Drosophila melanogaster: one gene and its partners. The protein of the gene in region 3 interacts with the protein of the main gene of each other region in a pairwise test. Each region holds a gene or a part of one and is shown on either strand. Other genes may lie near its edges.

Region 1 (4,791 bases), on a different chromosome or scaffold from region 3:
CTGCTGGCAGAGCTTTTGCGTAAATTTCCCCCACCAATACCGCCCATGCTGCAGAATCTCCAGCAGCCGCCACCAGCGGGCGATGATCTGAACACAGCGAGAAATGCCTCCGAAATGAACAATGCCACAGGACCGCTAGATATCAAAACCGAGGGTGTGGACATGAAGCCACCGCCCGAAAAGAAGAGCAAGTGATTATGTGAATGCAGGTGCACCCTCAAAAAACGTACATACATATTAGTCCGAGTCCTTTGGCAGCTGCATAAAAGGCGCTGAATGCTGCCTGCATTTCCACTGGCCAAACCAACGCTCAGCGAAAAGCAGCGAAATCTACTTTTGCTAGTACTGCCAACTATTTTTTTTTAAAGTGGCTCTAACTAGTGACCATTTAAATATTCAAATTTTAAAACGCAATTTTTGTTCCGTGAGAAAACAATTAAGAACAACAATCAATAACCTTAACAAAAAAAAAAAGAAAACACAAAATTCAAAACTAAAATAGTTTTTAGTAACCTAGAATATAATGTAATTACTGTCATTTAGACTACGATAGTTATTTTTGTGTGAATGTCATACGAAAACCTAAAAAATTCACAAAGCAGTCCAGTCGTGCAGCTGAAGTGTACAATTAATAAGCATTCGAGTAACCGAAACATTGAGTTAGAAGCGCTCGAAATGCCAGGCATTGCTAACTCACAGCTGCCCGGCGATCTGTTCACAACGCGCCGTTACCGGACCACAGCTACGCCACAGCACTTAACTTAGACATAGACTAGGCTACACACGAATCGCTTAATTTAATCGTGGGCACTCTGTGCATCCTCTCTGCCGGTCATCTTCTTAAGCTGGTTGTTTCCATGCACCGTCAGGCTGTGGTTTGTGAACTCGAGTATGCTCCTAAACGACTGCTTGCAGATGTGGCAGGGCACAGTCTTTGTGGGAGTGCGGTAGACGCCGGCATGCGCCACATTCTTGGGAATTTTTTTCACGCTCGGTGGAGCCATGGACTGGGTTCCTTGTGAGGGAGCTGTGAATTGGGTTTGTAATAATTTCTCTCTAAGAACGCGTGCTGTTCAATCAATAGTTACCTAATTTGGGAATAGTACTAATGCGTTGCTGTGGCTTCTGGGGCATCGTCATGGGATGGTTAATGCCACTGGTGCCACCGATCTTTGGCAGCTGGGCTTTCTTCTCGTGGTTCAGCTCGGTGAACTCCAGCTTGCGCTTCTCGGACGGCGGTATCTTGTCGCAGTTCTGCATTAAATGGATGTGCAAGGCACGTTCCAGTGCGAAATTCTTATCGCAAAACTTGCAGCGATTCTTCGAGACTCCCGCTGCAACCGGATTGCTGTTCAGACGCTTAAGGGTATTGGCTCCGTTGTCAACCGGATCGTGCATTCGCATATGCACGTCAAGAAGTGACTTCACCCGAAAGGTTGTGCTGCAATTCTTGCAGCTAAAAACTTTCTCCGGAATGCTTTTTGTCGATGTCTTAGCCGGCTTTGAGGCGATCTTCTCAGGCGAACGCACGCTGGTCACAGCGAGCGACTTTCTTATGCTGCTCTTTGTTAGCTTGGAGACGGGCAAGCAGCTGCGACGGCTTAGTGACACACCGCCACCGACACTCCGCTTGCGAGCTGGGCTGTTGAGCGTTGTCTTGACCACCACCGACATGCGCTGCTTGAAGGAGTACGTTCGCGTCTCTGCGGTGGTGGTGGGCAGATAGGAGCGCCGAGGGCGCGGTAGGGCGGCACCCGAATAAGTGGAGCTCATGGACTGCCTCTTCTTGCCCGCCTCCACTTTTAATTTGGAGGTCGCTGGCTTCACAGAATCAGCGGAGATCTTTAGAGCTTTGGCAATTAGCTCAGAGACTTCGTTCACTACCTCGTTGACATGGGCGACCTCCTTTTCGGCTCCGGCTGGCGAGACCAGCATGGATACTCCTTCGTTGGATACTGTAAATGTAGATGTTTATAGAACGAAACCATATCTCAATAGTATAAACCTACCTTCAGTTATATTCTCTAAAACTACGTTCGCACTCAAGGGATAGACTTGGCTGGGAGCTGGGGTCTTGGCAGCCTCCTGCAAGGATACATTGTCCATGGTAGCATCCCCTGTTTTTAGGGTATTGGCCTTAACCGTATTGGCGGTCACGTCCACTGAACTGGACAAGGTCGAGTTATCGCCGCCACACCCCTCCGGTTGTGTGTTTTCCTTGTCGTCAATTTGGGTCAGATCTATGCTCTCCATGATCTGTGGTGTCTGCGTTTCGGTCGAAATATTGCCCTTGGAGGGAGTGGAGCACAAGGCGTTGTGCCGGTTAAGAATACTTTTGTCAAATGGGCGCAGAGGAGAATTCTGGTCCGGTTCCCCAATGGTCAACTGATGCAGATCCTTTAGGATAGTGCGCCTTAGGTCCTTATCATCGGTGTTTACCTCCACCTTGCTGTTGTGCACCTCCAGGAACTGGCTGTTCTGGGTGACCAGGGCCGACTGCCACTTGGCATTGGACAGGGTGTCCTCCGCGTCAAAGGATAAATACATGGAGACGCTCTCATCGTTTGTCATTATCGATGAGCTACGGGAATCGATCTGCTGGAAGTGAAACTATTGTTTTAGCAATGAAAATGGGATAATGTTCGGAAGTCTTTTCCCGGCAAATGGAAGCAACACCAACTGAAACCACCAAACACTTGCCTTGCCGGCCATAGTTCTGCGCGAATCGTCCATGGTTAAGTATATGCTATTCCCAATTGGCCACGAGGAATTCCCAAATTAATAAATACAAGCAATTAAGCAAAAATTCGAGCAGCTGAAGACCGACGCTGTACCGAAAAAACAAAGCGTTAATATTTCAAACACACTTTTCAACACTGCGCGCGCAATGAAGATAGCAACGGCGCCGATGGGAATGCGCGGCTTTAAATTATGAAAAGTATTGAAAAAACTATAAATTCTTCACTACTTTCAAATTGATGTTAACGCGTAGGAGACTTTGTAGAAATAAATCTAATTTTTTCGGCACACGACGAATTGAAAGGTTACAGTGACTAGATGGGAAATATTTTTGAAAACATAAAATAATTGTGTTTTATCAGACTCGAACAGGGTTCATGTCTTAGATAAAAGTGTAATATCAGACTGGATTATTAGTTTATGCATGGTAAATCGACTTTTAAACTCAGATTTAATAGTAAAATGTAAGAAAGCCCTCTTTCGTAAATAGTTTGCAGCTTGTTTTGCTTAATTTCTTTAATTGTACTTGTTGCGAACTAAGCCTAAATGCAATATTAAACTTTTAAACTCAGATTTAATAGTAAAACGTAAGCAAGCCCTGTTTCGTAAATAGTTTGCAGCTTGTTTTGCATAATTTCTTTAATTGTACTTGTTGCGAACTAAGCCTAAATGCAATATTAAACAGTGTGAACACACGTAAAAATCGCCTATCGAAAACGACATCGATACTAACATCGATTTTTTTGCAGCTCTAGTATACAAATTGGCGAATTGTTGTGTGGTGTGAAAATTCATACTTTCGCAAATAAATTATTAAACCTTGGCAATAAGTTCCTACGTACGGAGCACAAACGAGCTCATCCCCGCCCCAATTACATATCCACCGAGTTCACACACCGAACCAGCACCAAGGGTAGTTTTTCATCTCGCGCGAGTGAGTCACTGGCCAGATTTCCCCACCCAAAAAAAAAACAAGACAGCCGTCTTGCCTCTCAACCACTTGCCAAGCTCAAGTTCAAGTGATCTCACCAGATAGATAGTTCCGAAATGGCCGCCGTGGAGAATGCCGAGCCGCGCACTGAGCTCCAGGAGCTGCAGTTCAAGTCCGGACAGGTGGCCGATGAATCCCTGGAGAGCACGCGTCGGATGCTCGCCCTCATGGACGAAAGCAAGGAGGCTGGAATCCGCACGCTGGTGGCCCTGGATGACCAGGGCGAGCAGTTGGACCGCATTGAGGAGGGCATGGACCGGATCAACGCGGACATGAGGGAGGCGGAGAAGAACTTGAGTGGCATGGAAAAGTGCTGTGGCATCTGTGTGCTGCCGTGGAAGAAGGTGAACATCAAGGACGACGGTGAGAGCGCCTGGAAGGCCAATGACGATGGCAAAATCGTGGCCAGCCAGCCGCAAAGGGTCATTGATGAGCGGGAACGCGGCGGCATGGGTGCACCACCGCAGTCCGGCTATGTGGCCAGGATCACGAACGATGCGCGTGAGGATGAGATGGACGAGAATCTCGGGCAGGTGAACTCGATGCTGGGCAACCTGCGCAACATGGCCCTGGACATGGGCTCCGAGCTGGAGAACCAAAACAAACAGGTTGATCGCATCAATGCCAAGGGCGATGCCAACAACATTCGCATGGACGGCGTGAACAAGCGCGCCAACAATCTGCTCAAGAGTTAAATATGCACAACGGCCACGTCCCGAAACCATAGCGAACATGTTAGTCAGACACCACCTCCATTTCAATGTTGTTAGGGAAAGAAACCAATGTTGTGGGCACAAACCGTAGCTGGTGGTATTGCGTTATTGATACCATATATTATACACATATACAAGTAGTGGCAACTACTCCTGGCAAACGCAAGCGTAACAAACCCATCTACTTACAAGAACTTTAAGCCGCCGAGCCGGATGAACTAACTACTACTTTCTAAAACTATATATATATATATATATATATATATATATATATATATATATATATATATATATATATATATATACATATATGCGAACCAACATACTAACTACTTACTATTACTACAC
Region 2 (7,403 bases), on a different chromosome or scaffold from region 3:
CCTGCTCTTGTAGCTCCATGCCGAGAATGACAGGTAGAAATACCTATATGTGTATGTGCGCATGTACAAATGCATATGTGTTTTCAGGTATCGAATCGATATCCATTTTAATTAAATATATATTGCTATTTTTATTTCGGTAAGTTCTTTTTCAGAAGCCAAATCAGTGTAACTCGATTTGTGCATGTTCGTCAACACCATGTTGTCCGCAAAATACTTCTTCTGACTTGATCTTTGGTGAAAAGCACATATCTACATATGTAGAAGCCAAACTGACTTCATGTACTTAGAGCCCGTCCTCATACAGAAGCCAAATCAGTAACCGCAACTTTACCTAATTTTAAAAAAAATCTTTGCAAATGATTCCGAAGTAATTCTAGCTGGGGCGTACGGAAAAAATGGTTTACTTTTAAAGGAACAGATCAAATTTCGCCGACACGTACACGAACCATTTTTGGAAGTCCAGCATTCTTATCCTTGAACTTCCAGCTTGACAAAGGCTTGATCGCGACCTAAACGGCGGTAGCGGAGGACTGCTCAGGTTGCTACACTGGAGATTGTGAAGTCTGGGGTCTGTCCAATCGAAGAAAACAGGTTAGGCCGCAGCCCAATCGCATACTTTAAAAGCAGAACAAGTCTCTAAAAAAACGAAAGTCATCATTCAAAAAGCATTTCGCGCGACAGACTCAAACTCGTGCCCAGTGTACATCTGCTAAGGATATCAGACAAAAAGACGAAAAGAACCCTAATGATATTAGGGAACTGGCTCTTGCATTCATTCCAGCGGCAAGTTTTTTGTTGTGCGGCGTTCGAAAGAATGATCAGCAAATTTAAACTTTTTCCTAGAACTGATCTTTTTTTTATCCAAAACGTAAGGAGGTATTCATCCTGACTTAAATAAATTTCCAAATACAAGCATATACATATATACATACATAAATATAAAAGAAGCCATGATAATCCAACTTACAAAATTATGACGAGTTCTGTTTAAAAAAATACATACGTATCAAATAAAATATTTGTAAACTATCTAAGAAACTGACCATTCTATGCCTAAAAATCGAACAGCTTGTGCAATACTAAAATTAAATGTTGACATTATTAAGACCGTTGCTTTTACTTTCTTCGCCAGTGCCATCCGCAGATGAAATACATACTAATACATATTTTATCACGTATGCACAAATGAAATTGACGCTGGTATATGCGTTGTGTCCAGCAGCAATGTTGCAAGAAGAATAAACTGTTTTAATAAAGTCCTGATTATGATAGAGGCTTTAACAGCCTTATAAGTCAAACTTTGCAAAATGGAGAGCAGCCGAAATTAATTAATCTTACCTAATTCAATGGCATTTAAGATCTTTTTCTGTCCAAAATATTGAATGTATATTCATCCCGATAAGTTTACAAAAAGTCAAAAGACATTTTGTCATTGAAACATAAGTAAGGCCGCAGAAAAGTAATACTTGCAATCAATAAGTTGAATACAAATTTTTTCTAGTCGCAAATCTCAAGCGAGCGAATATTTTCATTCATAAAACTAATAATGTGGTAGTCAAACATGTTCGACAGCGAACCGATCCAGCGGTTCGTACCACAGTGCTGGCAGGTCTTTCTGCCTAATATTTCTGGTGCCAATAAGTTCAGAGGCCTAGCAAACTTAGCTGTTCAAAATTTTGCTTTAAAGTATTTATATATTTCTTGTAAAGATAAATACTTTATTTCTTATTAAGCATATAATTTACTTATGGAAGAAATATATTTTCTGGCTAAGGGCGCAATTTTTTTCAAGCCATACACACATTAGGACAACGGACTCTAAAAAAACTGAATGGTCAACACTGATAACCAAACGCAGTTCGACCGCGTGCTGCTTTTAGCATGAAGCCAGCCGGTCCCTGGCGCAGGCCATTTCAATCCGCAAGATATTTTCAATCCGTCAGATACTTTCGTTGTGAACAGTCGTGCTCCGGTCAGAAGATTTTACGAGAAATCGTGAAAATAAAAAGTTCTAATAAGTTGAAGATAGTGCCAAAGCTCACATACGGCTTAACCAAACCACAAATTAAAAAAGTGCCTTTAAACAATACGTGACATTTCAATAGGTTTATGTTAACATAAAGCCCGTAATTGTGAATAAATAAAATATAAGCCCACAAAACTATTCAAATACCGTTTTCGGATACGCGCTACTTTTAAAGTTCTTGAATGTCCTTCGCGGCTATGGCGAATACCAACACAGAAAAACTTTACATGCAACTAAGCGCATCGGAATTATCAGCAATTATTATGAAAGGTGGGTATTTACCTTTTGCACGAGCAAAGGACACTGCACCTGTTGCCTGCGAATTGTGCGGCACCTGCAAATACTTACATAAATATACACACCTACATACATAGGTTTTTTATGTCTTGCAGTCGGATGATTATAATCATTTCCCGCAAAATATTTGTCGACAATAATTTGTCAAATAGCTGTATATTCATTTTTGTAATCGAAACCCAAAAAGAACGAATACAATCATTAAGGCAAGGAGGCTATGGCCCAAGGCTATGCAATAGACACTGAAGATAATTGACGACCAACATTGTTAATAGGGGGTGCTGCCGTGTGCACCCAGAAAGCCCCACCAACTAACACGTTGCAGCAGAATCATATTAGCAGCAGACTTGTGAGGATGGCAATTAAGATGCAGACAGATACGTAAATAAAGCCAACTATGTGTCGCCAGCGTACTCCAACTTTCGTCTTGTGTTGCATATGTCGGCCAAGCACTTTGCCCGCAATGGCGAATTTGGGACGACGATGTCGCCAGACATATTGGCAATTTGTCTGTTTGTGAAGCTGGAGCGACAGTTGGACTCTGCATTGTGTGTCCCTTTTCACCACCGCCTGCTGATTGTTATAATGTTCGAGGACAGACGTTAACTCCTTCCATATTGTTGGTACTGTTTACGTCAGCATTTCATAAAATCGATTTTATTTTTTGTTTCTGTGATCATTTATTTAAAATGCTAGTCTTAATCAGCAACGTTTCGAAATGATTAGTCTAGATGGCCATTGGTTTGGATAGAATAAGGTGTCTTTAATTTAAATTGATCACTATGAGTTTATAAAAATTCCACTTATATTATTTTACTACATAACGCAATGTAGTAACAGGAAAGCCGAATGATATTGGGTTCGTTTTATAACCAACGTAAAAATGTCCTTACCAAGTGTGTCAAAGTACTGCATGATCTGGATGTGTTCTTACGATTCATTCATAAAAGTGATGCGTCATTTTACTACAATATATTTCATATAGTCGCTATAACATATTTACATTTATGTACGTATGAGTATATGCACTTGTTATGATAAGACGAGGCTTCCCACACAGGGAACGCTTCCCAGTGGACCGACCGCCAGCCAAAAGCCGCCTATGATGATAACCTTTCGTTGACTTTTGGCGTGAATATGGGATTTTCTTATGCCTCTGACAGTTAATGTCTGCCGTTTTTAAGTAGGTTTTAGCTGATTTTCGCAGGAGGGCATTCATTCTTAGAAAAAAAGGCCAATAACGGGAAAACCGTTGTCAATTTCTGAGCAAAACTTGCTATTTTGTACTTGGCACCTAAAGACGGATCAGATCCATAAAAAATAAACTAATTTGGGCGTACAAAAAACATCTTAAAATATTCTTAATATAAACAATCGAGAATAATACCTTCTTCCGTGTATACTAAAAATAAAATAAAATGTGCAGGTATTGCCCTTTGGTCGTTAGATGTAACTTTAAGTGTCTGATACGGACAACTTAAATATAAATTGGTAGAAATTTATTTTTTAAAAACTTGGCAAGCTTTAAAAATGTTTCCGTTTGGCACAGGTGTTTTAAACTAGACGACGCCTGCGAGGACGGTGGCTTAAAAGTAAACATTTGTCTAAATATAAATTAAAATGCGGTATATAAACCACGCAAGACATGGGATAGAGTTAGGGCTATAAAACTGATGTTATTTGTACAGCCTGATTTCGTGGCCGCAATGTCAGTCAGTTGCTTTGAATTTCGTTTCGTTGTTTATCTGCCTAAAATTAGAAAAGATAGCAGAATATTGTGCTTATAAATAGTTGAATAAACATGCAAAAAGCTTACCTTCCGTAAATGTGTGTCCGCACCGGTTCAAACAAACAGGGAATAAATTTACTCATTCTTAGCCAACTTAGCTTAAGTAATTAATTTAAAATTAATAACAAGTAATTATTGTATGTATGATTGCTGACAAACATATACATATATATAATGGATAGGCTGATAACACAATAATTGATTACAAAAAAAATTAGCTGTTGAAGACAAAGTTTTTTTTTGCTTAAATACCGGAATACTTATAAATATCCTAGCAGATTCTATACCTTTATACTTTGCTGGCACAACCAAAGTTGAAATCGCAAACAAATTCGATCCATGTATGTATGCTCGTTTATATGCATTGTGATTTTTTTTTAAATTGCTAACCGGGTTGTTGGCTTCTGATGCAGTGGCTGCTTCATGCTGAACTTGAACTGGCTTTATTCGCCAGACTTGAAATAAATTACTTTTAACAAGTAAGCTGCGTTTCGGCACTTCAATACTTGTGGAGGTCAGTGGTAAATTAAGAAACCTGTTTTGTTTTCGTGATCAATGCATAATTTCACTTTATATAATGGACTTTCTTCTCATGTAACCTCCGATTTGAATGTATTAAATAGATTTCATAGGGTGGAAGAACATATTATAGATAAGAAAATACGTCAAAACTACGTCATCCAATTAGTTTCGATCAGATGGTAATAAAAAATAGTAACTAAAGATTTGGGATTTATTGAATTTTGAAAAGTCGAAGGGGTGTCACACAAAGGCAGTCGCAGCCCTATTCGGCTTGCTGGCCTGTTCCGCGAAAACGGGGGTTTTTTTAAATTTACGAATACGAAATGCCAAACATTAGTAACCGGTTCGGCGTAATACGTCACAGATAGAAGATAACTAACTCTTAAATTTTTTGGTATTTTTAGATTCACCCAATTCCAACGACCGTGATGCGGGTTTTTGTTCCGCCAGTTCGGAAAGCGAAGGCGGAGACGACTTGGTCGTCGAGCACGCGCGCAGTGGCAGTCCCGACATCAGACCAAAAGGAACAGACTCGGCGGACTCCAAGCCAATAGCCCTTGTCCGCAACAAACGCAAGAGTTCGGAACCCTTCAAAGTCGTAGGTTTGACGACTCCCAACTCTAAATCCATGCCTGGTCCTCCGTCCAGTGCGAGTATGAATGCAACTGGTCCGCTAAAGAAACGCATACGATACACATCTTCCGCCGATTCGGCAGTTGTCCTAACGCCACCAGCCATAGACTCTCCACCGCCCAACAGTTGCATACCTTCCACGTTGCGCCTGCAGCATGAAATAATGCCTAATCCGGCACATATATATGTTCGCCATCCGGGAGTTACGACTCTTCACAGATCGCTTGCTGCCCACCCAGAACAGCTGGAACCACTCGCATTAGTAACGACCAAAAAGCAATGTGTCGACCAAGCGGGGCCTAAAATAGAGGCCTTTTCCGCATTGCTAATTGGAAAACAGCCATCCGCCAAAAAAACGTTGAAGGAAAGGACGCAAAAAGAATCAACGTCATCTTCCTTTTTAGAAGCTAGTCTTAGCGATGAGGATCTGAACAAGACGGGATTGGCACCAATTTCGCGACCTCATCAACATCAACGCAATTACAAGAATATGACTAGGGAGCGCCGCATTGAGGCGAACGCACGTGAACGGACCCGTGTACACACCATATCCGCCGCCTACGAAACGCTCCGCCAAGCTGTTCCAGCCTATGCCAGCACTCAAAAACTTTCCAAACTCTCCGTTCTTCGGGTAGCGTGTTCCTATATACTAACCTTAAGTAGAATGGCTGGCGAGGATTACAGCGCCGATCAATCCGTACCGTCCATTGCCACGTGCTTAGAAGCTGTAACATCAACCATCCAAACGGAGGGAAAAGTGAAACGAAAGAAAGACGAGTAATCTGTCCAGTTTCGTGGATAACTTACTTTTTTAGACTTTAAATGCGACTGATTTCTGCTATTTTTTTAAATATTTGTGCTTAAGCTTAGATTAATCTGCATACAGCATTCCTATCCACATGCTTTGATTCTTTGCCAGAAGTGGCCTAATAGCTTTAAAAGTTTTCAAGGCTTTGTTAGATATACAGACTTCATGAGTTTAAAAAAAAAATTTTTAAGTATGCCTGCATACAATTTGTATTTGATATTGACATTGTTATGAATAAATACTAGCGATGTGATCATAATTTAATCTCTACCTACAGAAACATTTTAGTCAGTACAAAAAGTCAACGCCATCTATGTACGAGTGTATAAAAAGACAATAATCGGCATCCTTAAAACCTATGTAAATGACAATAATGTAAACTATATATTTACCTAAAAAAGTTTCAGTTTCTTGTTTCAAACAGGATTTTTATATCAATTTACAAGTTTTTAAAAGAAGCTTTGCCAAAATGTTGTAATTTCACCATCAACTTTAGTTACCTTAGGACTGAATATGAAAATGTATATTTTTTTACATGTACCTCTATAATAAGATCAATTCTTCTTTTACGAATTGCATACAACAGAGATAATCAGTAGTAATTAAAAATCCGTAGTTACGAAATTAAATAAAGAATTTAACAAATTTCAGTTTATGTAAGTAACTGTAGACGTTTCCTCTTCAATTGTAATCTCATTGTTTTGTATACATTGATATATTTGTACCCATGTATACATTCATAAGTGTACGTGCCATAGAATCAGGAAATACACAAAACTTACTATAAAGAGAATGTATTTTTATATAGAGTTGGGATTTCAGGTGGTCGCGGTTAAAATATTAGTCATCTGGGTGCAAGCGCACTAAAGGAAACCATATAGAAATGACGGCTTTAAGGGTTATTTTATGTCTGTACGTTAAACAATCTTATCGTTTGCAACAAGCTATTTCGTGATATTAAAAACTCAACAGGTGCGCAAAGAACGGCACGCTATCGATTTAAGTACACCTGAACGCATCCACGTTATCGTAACGAGTTTTGGCAAAACTTAGTCCCCTTATCAGGTTCGGAAATATATTTGTCAGCTTATCTAGCAGGCACAAAGTTTACCAATATCACAGTAAGTTGACAGTGCATTAGAACTCATGACGTACTCTGAAAGAACTCAACACTATTAACTATGCATATTATTAACAAAGTAACTGCATCTAGTTGACCCAGTGCAATATCCAGAACAAATTACATCAGCTAAGAATCCTATAGAAAACAGGTTAAAAACAGCAATTTCCGATCAGTACATATATAATGACTTGAGCATTGGCGT
Region 3 (4,720 bases):
TTGTAAAGCTATGTTCTTTCAGTCATGCTCGTTTCAAAAAAGTCAAGTCATTTCTGATCTATACACGTTTTCCCTCTTGACTCCTGCTTAGTCTATAGTGTGTCAGCTTTCTTTTGACTACGAATTGCAGTTAAGTTGTCCGTGATTTGTGTTTTTTAAAGTAATCAAGGCAAACAAAACTAAGAAACGATAAAAAAAAAGAATCCAACCTGGCGAATGAGATCCCTACCCGATGAACAATGAGCTTTGATGGAACAGTGTGCTGGCTTTTGATTTCCAATTGCGACTTACCCGAGTGCGAGGACTGGGAGTTCGGCGCATCGTGCTCGGATGGTGTGGTACCGCCGGAGATGTCCAAGGGCATCGTTTGGTTCACGCCGCCAATGTCGACTTCGGGCTTCTGCACGTGGGCACCGAGAAGAAAAAGAAAACAATTAGTGACTTTGCTCATGCGGACGAGGGTACAAGGTTAACGTGACCAATTTCATTACAATTTGCATGTGTAAGTGTCCGTGTCCATCGTCAAGATCCGAGTCCTGCGGCTGCTGCTCTAGCTCAGCGCTGGCCGACTCCTTGAGCAGCTTAGCCGCGTGCAGTGAGTGGCCGGCCAAGCCGCCGCCCGCACCAAATGTCATCTGGTTCATCTGGGCGAGACTGAGACCGGCGTTGCCGGCACCACTGCCCGCGTCCAGTGAGCTGTTGTGCTGCTCCTCCGCGTTGTTGCGATCGCCAGAACCTGCGTTATTACGAAAACCGGTTATTTTTTGAGACCTTACAATTTTGGATCTATCACGACGATGCTTTACCCAACTCCAACTCACCGTTATTCGAGGATTTGCGCAAGCGCTTGCGCCTGGTGGCCGGCGAGGTTCCAGCGCTCAAAGGCGACGGCGTACGTCGCATCTGGTGGTGATGCGTCTGCGCCGCCTGCGCCTGTCCGCTCTGCTGCTGCTGATGGTGGTGGTGATGGTGCTGCTGCTGTTGTTGCTGCTGCTGCGCCTGTTGTTGTTGCTGCTGCAACTGCTGCTGCTGCTGGTGGTGATGGTGCTGCTGCTGTGCCTGTTGCTGGGCCTGCTGTTGCTGCTGCTGCTGGAACTGTTGGGCCTCGCTGCTGCTCCACAGGGAGTCGCCGACGCTGCTTCCACTGCCGGCTCCCAGGCTGCCAGCCGAGTTGCCCGCTCCAGTGCCCACTCCCGCACCGCCCACCATCTCGGTGCCGTCGGTGGAGGACTTGCTATCCGACTTGGTAAGATTGGCCGGATCCGTTGGCATCTCCGCTAGGCCTTTGATCTTGAGCATCTCGGCGGTCTTGAGGATGTGCGGCAGCTGCTCCTGCGACACATTTACCTCGCCGTAGTACATAAAGTCCACCATGGTCTTTAGGTCATCGTACTGCACGTCCTTCAGGATGACAATGGGATGTTGGCACGGATTTGTGGTGAACAAAGCCTGTCGAACACATTTGAGTGTAATTCGTAAGGGATATACGCTGCGGCGATCTCCAACTTACCTGAAAGTACGAGCTGCAGGCGGATAGCACTATTTTGTGGGCCTGTAGTTGGCGACCCTCGGCTGCCAGGGTGACGTCCACCAGGGTGCCATTGTGCAGCAGCGAGGAGCACACGGAGATGAAGTTCGGCTGGTGGTTGTTCCACCGCAGGCAGAACTGCTGCACGGACATGATGTCGAGGGGTCCGGATCCGCGTCCGGGATGCGGATTTGGAGCTCCCTAAACCTCAATCTCCGGAGCAACCTCCTCCTCCTGCTCCCGCTCCTCCGCCTCCTGCTTCTTTCCTTCTTCGTAGCCAATTAATTCGCACTGATAACACTTTTTATCGCCTCCCGCTCGCCTCTATTGATTTTTATTAATTTTCCTTGCTTTCCGGTGTTTTGTTCGCTTTACTTTTTCGCTCCGACTTTTAATCAATTTAAATTTATGAACAATCGCAGTCTGTACATGTGTGTGTGCGTGTGGGGGGTCGGGATCACGGTTTTTTGGGGGGCGACGACTTCTATGCCGCACGCATCGCGAGTCACTGCAAAAAGGGGTAATAAAAATGGGGTTTAAATAAATCAAACATTATCGATGGTTACACAAATTGCTCAACAACAAATTCCACTCTCTCGCTTTCTTCCTCTCTCTCTCTCATCTGCTTTTCACAGCTGCGCGCTCTTCTCGCTTACAATAAAAAATCAAACAGAAACAACAACATCGGCGGGACTGCGTGTGTATGTAATTATACAGTCGCGAAAATGAAACACAACACACACACACACTGGAACACAACAGCCATACTTGTTGTTGTTGCTGCTCACTGGCCAAAGTTTTATTTTTGATAAAACCGAGAACGTAACGAAATCGTATAGCTTTTTGTATAGCCGCAGTGCTGTAGACCTTGAATTTTCTTTAATTCTTATGACGTAATTATATACGCGCCCCGCGCTCCTCCATCTCTTTCGCACTTAATCGCCTTCCCCATTCCCGTCTTCCTCACTCTCTCACCCACACAGACGACCGCCGACGACGTACTAATCGCTGCTTCTTCGTTTATTCATCGTATCGATATTTTCAGTTTTCAGTGTTTCAGTCGTATTTATTTATGTGCATGTCGCGCGTTATTTTCGTATGTCTTTTAGAGGCACAAAGATGATGCTCGAACTAGCCAAGCCGCCACATGTTATTCACTCGCTTTTCCCCCCACAGAATTCCTTTTCCTCTTGCTTTTTATCGCTTTTACAAACTTTGACTTTTTGTGGTAGGTTTTTGCTGTTGTATTTCTTCTTTTTCTTTTGCTTTCCAAAAACAAAATGGCGCGCAACAAATTTATGCGAGGGGCAAAACAACGCCGAAAACTGTTAGAGCGAGCTGAATTTCAATGCCTTTGACTGGCTCACTCTTTGCGCCAACTTTTTTACCACTTTTTACATTATTTTAATGCGGATTTCCTGGCGAAAAACGCATATGAAAATTCTTACGTTTTACTTCTTTATGCGAAAGATTTTTGTGACTATATGGCAACTTTGTATACAACGAGTTGACAGGTCGCTTAATAGTGTGACCAGTCCTAGATCAAAACTAGTATCCCAATTGTTAAAGATTGTCCCAAATTTTAAAATAATTTGTTTATTGTATTTAAATGGTTAACATTTGAATTGTTGTTTTAAAATGTTGACTTCGGTTATACATCTGATGAATCACAATCGGCGTTGCCACACTTTCCCCGCATTGTTCGTACTTAACGGAACCAGTTCGGTTCCCTTGGTGACTCGCGAATTTGTTGTTGGCTTTGGCTAGAGATGACAGTATTGAATAAACAACGATAGCCTGCAGCAGTCAAATTAAACTAATTGTGCTTATTGGGCGGCCAAATACGTAAATATCACTCAAAAGCCGTTATAAGGTACAAAAATAAGGGTAAGAATTGTTAAAAGCTGATTTCAACCAGTAAAACACCATTTCAACCCATCGATATTCGCATATCCATGCTCGCCGGTATCGATGCATTTTCCCATGTTCATCTCTAAGCAGCAGCTGCAAAAAAAATCAACTATACTATTTTACATTCGGTCCGTAAAGTTTATGAGAAAAGAGCTGCCTACAGGATTCCAGATACCGTTATGGAGGAACTACGCAAGCATTTATCCAAGGTGAACGTGCCATGCGCATCCGGGGCGGGCAGTCCTCCCATCTACAAGGACGAGTGCGTCTACTCCTATGACAATCCCGAGACGCCCACCGGTTTGTACGTGTGCCTGCACAGCTTTTTGGGCTTCGGCGAGGCGTATGTGCGGGAGTATGCCGACAAGACCGGCAACCGGGTCTTCCTCCACATCCAGCGGGTGAAGACGATCAAGGAGGGCGCCGACATGGAGGCCGAATGCGCGGAGTCGGAGGCAGGACCGGAACGGAAGATCACCCGCCTGGCCATTGGCGTCGAGGGCGGCTACAACGAGTCGGACATGGCCAAGAAGTACGAGATCAAGGACACGTACAGCATCGTGGTGGCTCCGCACCTGGATAAGAAGCTGCCCTATCCGGATCCAGAGCTGCCCATGCGTGTCACCCAGTCGGTGGAAGCGATCCTGGCCGCCGACTCGGCAATTGCCAAGTTGGAGAAGGCCACGCTGATGGGTGAGTTGCAGGATTGTTATCCCATGCTGACGAAGGTAGCCTAAAATCAATAATTTTTCAGGCACCTGGGATGGTGAAGTGCGTCAGGCGTCGAAGTACGCAGATAACCTGCAGCAGCTGGATAATGGCAAGAGGATTCCCCCATCCGGCTGGCAGTGCGAGAAGTGCGACTTGACCAACAACCTCTGGCTTAATCTGACCGATGGTTCGATCATGTGCGGACGCAAGTTCTTTGACGGCAGTGGCGGCAACGATCACGCCGTGGAGCACTACAGAGTAACGGGTTTCCCGCTGGCGGTGAAACTGGGCACCATCACCGCTGATGGCAAGTCGGATGTGTTCTCCTACCCGGAGGATGAAATGGTACTCGATCCACACTTAGAGCGCCATCTCTCCCACTTTGGCATCAACATGGCGGCGATGAAGAAGAGCGAGAAGTCGATGGTGGAGCTAGAGTTGGACATTAACCAGCGCATCGGCGAGTGGACGGCGCTTACGGAGAGCGAAAGTGAGCTGCAGCCTGTTGCTGGTCCTGGATACACTGGCATGCGCAATCTGGGCAACTCCTGCTACATAAACAGCGTGATG
Region 4 (4,037 bases), on a different chromosome or scaffold from region 3:
GGGTTATGCCATTCACGCACACAAGAAACCATCAACATACCCATATTCCAGTGAGATCCTTGATCTTGGCCAGAACTTCCAGGCAAAAAATTATCGTGGGATTCAGGTGACAGAAACACGAGGCGCACAAATGGCATTGCGAAGGCTTTTTCATTTCAAACATATGATCATTTATCCCGCTGAATTCCCAAAACAATCAGCTGTAGTTTAATTGATTTTATGTTGTCAATTATGGAATAAAAACGGTAAAAGAGCGTACGCAATCCGAGAATTTCTGTTTACTCTCTCTAAGCAGCAAAATTTGTATGAATTACCTGTTTCATGGCGTTACCAGATAGGTGTGGAAAAACTAACTGTTCTTATTTCCTAGAAACCAGGGAACATCGAGCTAGTTTTTATAATTTAAAATTTATATATTATAAACGGGAGGTTAAATTTTCCCAAAAAGAGAGGTTCAAGCTAAAACACACGTTCGGCTAATTCCTGACGTTTTTGAAATTGGTTCCATATAATTTTTATTAAAATAAGCGCGCTGTGCAATTAGAATAAAATATATTTTATAACAAATTGTAATCTAAGACCGACGTTGAATTCCTTCCACACTGGTGCTAATCGTACGGCTGGCTGGTGATTCAAAGGATTTCTCTGAACCACCGAAAAAGTCAGATAGTTTGCATCCCTGGCATTGTGGCGTGTGGAGTGTGGAGTGTGTGGCGCCAACAGTCGATTTTTTTTGTGTGCTTAAAGTTAGGTGTACAGCTCCTCTCCATCGGGAATGGCTTCCTCGTACTCGAAGTCCTCAAAATTTGCGTCCTCATCCTGAAGTACCTCGTGGTCCTCATATTGTTCCTCGTCAATGTTATCTAACATTACGTCCAGTTCAGCCTGGTTGTCCTCCATTTCTGCCTGCCCCTCTTCCATATATCCCGGAAACTCCGCCGGATCGACTTCAGACTGGAATTCCTCTTTTGGACCATTAACCAGCAAGTTGACCCGCTTGCGGTGATACTTTGTGGAGTAGTGCCGATGCAAAAACTGCGCCTCCTTGAACTCCTTGTTGCATGTGAGGCAGCTGTGAAAGAATATGAGTTTGTACATCTATGGCTACGTATATTTCAATGATTCTTACATATGGACATCCGGTTGGTCACTCTTGTGCCCCTCCTCGTGCTTCAGCCGTCCCTTCTCGCTGTTGAATCGTTTGCCGCATATTTTGCACGGGTGCACCAGCTCGTTGGCATGCATTTGACTGTCAAGGTTTTTATGGTTTATATAGATAAGGACTTGTGATGATTAGGCCAGCACTCACCGTTCATGACGACAGCGGCTGGGACTATTGGCGAATCCCATACCGCAGAACTTGCAGACGTACGGTTTCTCGCCCTTGTGATGGACTCGAATGTGCAATCGGAGCAGTGGCATGGTGTAGAACTTGCGACCGCACTCGTCGCATGAAAACTTCTCCTCGAAGTGCCGCAGCTTGTGATCCTTCATGTTGCTGTGATCGTTGAACGACCAACCGCACTGGTCGCACACGTATCGCTTTATCGAGCGATCGACCTTGGGTTTTGGTCGCCGCTTTCTGGGCTTTCGGACGTGCTCCCGCGGAGGTGGCGGTGGACTATCTGCCTTCTCGACCACAGGCACACGAAGCCGCTTGACCCTGACTCGTGGGGACTGTCTGTTCGGGAAATTTTGGTCCTCGATCCGGATTTTTTTGGCCGGAGGATATCTTAAAATCGGCTTTTCGTCCTCCAAGAAATCCTTATCATCATCCATTAAATCCTTATCATCGTCCAGTAGCTCCTTATCGTCCTCGGTGTCTACTGTATCATCCAGCACCTCCCGTTTCAGCAGCGGATCACTAAGCACTGGCGAAACCTCCGGGGAGCCTTTTGAGGCGACACCCGCCTTCGAGGAGATCCTCTGGTGGAGATTTGCGTGCGTCTCCAGGCATCGCTGCCTGAAGGCTACGGCTTGGGTCAGGTCCAGGAGACAACAAGCGCATATGTGCTGGGGCAGCATATTCTCTAAAACGATCTGGAAATGCATAGATTATGAATAATTCCGGACAACAAATAAAAGGGACGCCACCTCTAAGCCCGTGATTTGCTCGATGGCCATCCGAATGCGATGATTGCGCTTCTCGAAGATGTTCTTTGGGTGCGGCGTGAAGATGCGCTCGCCGCAGATCCGACACTCGGTGCTCATTCTTTCGAAACTAAATAAAATTGATTAATTTTAATTACAAATTATAGTAATTTTTGCGCAGCCGGTTTGGTTTTGAAGTGTGACCGTTGTCCGCAACTAGAGGTGTCAAACATTGATGTTTTTAAAATTTTCCGATATATCGATGTTTATTTCAGACTATCGATATTGGTGTTCAAATAAAAAAAAATCGGCACTGCATCCCGTGAATTTTCTTTTTTAATTGAAATACATAATACTCCTAAGAAAACACGCTTTACAAGCGAATAAATAGTTGTATATATCTCCTTTTTTTAGCAATTTATTTTTATCTTTAGGCTACGATTATAAAAATAAAATAAGCATCATAAGCAAGTTTGAAGCTCTTTTGTGTACAGAATTTGTAGTAACTAGCCTAGAAAAAGCGATTAGCAATCAAAGGAAGTCTCTCATAACGTGTAATTGTCAAATCTTTGTCAAAATGCTCTATAGAAATGCCTCCAGTACGGGGGCCGCGATCAGGCGCCAACTCTCCCGCCATCGCAGCTCCTGGAACTCCTGGATTTTGCGCTGAAAACCAGCTCTTGTCTCCAGGATGCTGGGATTCTTTGGAAAATTTTCGAACCAAATCCTCAGCTGCTCGGCCAGCTGAACATGGTCGCCAAACACGAAGCCATTCTCGCCGTGCTTCACCAGCTCATCCAGGCTAAAGAGCCATTTGTAGAAGTTAGTAAGTAATAATAGTAAATGGCAGGATTAGTTACCACTTGAAATCGTAGGCGCAGACAGGCAGCCCGCTGCCGAACATGTCGACCACCTTCATGGGCAGGTCGAGCCCACTGGTGCTCCAGTGCAGACACACGCCCAGGTCGGCGCTGGCCAGAACAGTGGGGTAGTCCTCGATCTCTAGCCAGGGCGTGATCACCGACACCTTCTGCCATTGCAGCTTCTCGATCTCCGCCACATAGTGCTCCTTTTGTGGCCCCTTTCCGGTGATGATACACAGCAGGGAAGGATAAACCAACGGCTCTGCTTGCGCAGTCTCCTCGTAAGCTTGCAAAGCCTTAAGCAGTATACCGAAGTCCTCGTCCGGCGTCCAACTGGTGCTGGAAACCAGCACGGCTTGTCGCTGTGGTCTGTACTGCACAACACCGCTGGCCAGCTTTTGGGTAAGAGCGGTGGCCTCCAGAACATCGGATTGTTCGGCGTCCTTGGCCTGGAACTGTGGGTAGTCTTTGGCCAGCTTCAGGTACAGCTCGTGCTTGTGAGTCAAGTCGATGGGATGGAATTGCGCGGGCGCACGATCATACAGAACTTTGACAGGCCTGAAAGATGAGTCGCGGCTGAGTTATTTACTTCGTTTAGATGGATGTGATGAGGACTTACCCAATGCCCCAGTTTTGCTGCAGATCCTCTTGCATGGCCCGCGTCACACAGAAGTGTGTGTGTGCCTTGGAGCCGAAGTATCGCTCCAGTCGCCTAACCAATCGTATTAGAGGACTCTGCTCTCCCTTCGACATTCCCAATGCCAGCACTGTGTACGTGTAGTTGTGCCAATCGATGGCCAGCTTGGTTCGTGTGACCGCACAGTACAGATAGCACACAATCAGCGTGGGAATGCCGGGCGGATTCTGGACGAGTAGGAAGCTGGGACGGCCAATGGAGATGAGAGCCATCAGCAGACTGAGCGTCTGCCAAAAGGCCTTGAAGAGCAGGCGCAGTTTGGGTGTTAGGTTCGTCACTGGGACGGCAGTTAGCTCGTGGATTCGGCAACGTGGATGTTGAGTCAGTTCCTCCAGCGGCCTCGTCTCCAGATACCCAATCATGTCCACGTGGTAGTTCTCCTCGAG

What was found.
Region 1: the proteins of BtbVII (region 3) and CG8478 interact in a two-hybrid assay, tested with the Drosophila melanogaster proteins (one large-scale study listed by BioGRID).
Region 2: the proteins of BtbVII (region 3) and net interact in a two-hybrid assay, tested with the Drosophila melanogaster proteins (one large-scale study listed by BioGRID).
Region 4: the proteins of BtbVII (region 3) and Odj interact in a two-hybrid assay, tested with the Drosophila melanogaster proteins (one large-scale study listed by BioGRID).

Annotation. Positions count from the first base shown.
Region 1 is NT_033777.3:9,761,845-9,766,635, reverse strand, and holds CG8478 (uncharacterized protein), read right to left. Parts: upstream 2,883-4,791; 5' UTR 2,734-2,882; coding exon 2,701-2,733; intron 2,611-2,700; coding exon 2,010-2,610; intron 1,956-2,009; coding exon 1,089-1,955; intron 1,028-1,088; coding exon 798-1,027; 3' UTR 501-797; downstream 1-500. Other genes in the region: MED6 (mediator complex subunit 6), read left to right, coding at 1-195; Snap24 (Synaptosomal-associated protein 24kDa), read left to right, coding at 3,787-4,425.
Region 2 is NT_033779.5:81,916-89,318, reverse strand, and holds net (net), read left to right. Parts: upstream 1-1,931; 5' UTR 1,932-2,226; coding exon 2,227-2,299; intron 2,300-5,041; coding exon 5,042-6,051; 3' UTR 6,052-6,898; downstream 6,899-7,403.
Region 3 is NT_037436.4:3,146,944-3,151,663, reverse strand, and holds the start of BtbVII (BTB-protein-VII), read right to left. Parts: upstream 3,019-4,720; 5' UTR 2,977-3,018; intron 2,965-2,976; exon of another isoform or gene 2,927-2,964; intron 2,763-2,926; exon of another isoform or gene 2,743-2,762; intron 2,532-2,742; exon of another isoform or gene 2,504-2,531; intron 2,037-2,503; 5' UTR 1,682-2,036; coding exon 1,511-1,681; intron 1,450-1,510; coding exon 822-1,449; coding exon of another isoform or gene 807-821; intron 737-806; coding exon 492-736; coding exon of another isoform or gene 480-491; intron 401-479; coding exon 292-400; intron 1-291. Other genes in the region: Usp5 (ubiquitin specific protease 5), read left to right, coding at 3,619-4,132, 4,194-4,720.
Region 4 is NT_033777.3:17,806,907-17,810,943, forward strand, and holds Odj (oddjob), read right to left. Parts: upstream 2,317-4,037; 5' UTR 2,212-2,316; coding exon 2,095-2,211; intron 2,041-2,094; coding exon 1,310-2,040; intron 1,250-1,309; coding exon 1,130-1,249; intron 1,073-1,129; coding exon 748-1,072; 3' UTR 501-747; downstream 1-500. Other genes in the region: CG17801 (uncharacterized protein), read right to left, coding at 41-163; Alg1 (ALG1, chitobiosyldiphosphodolichol beta-mannosyltransferase), read right to left, coding at 2,674-2,893, 2,952-3,512, 3,574-4,037.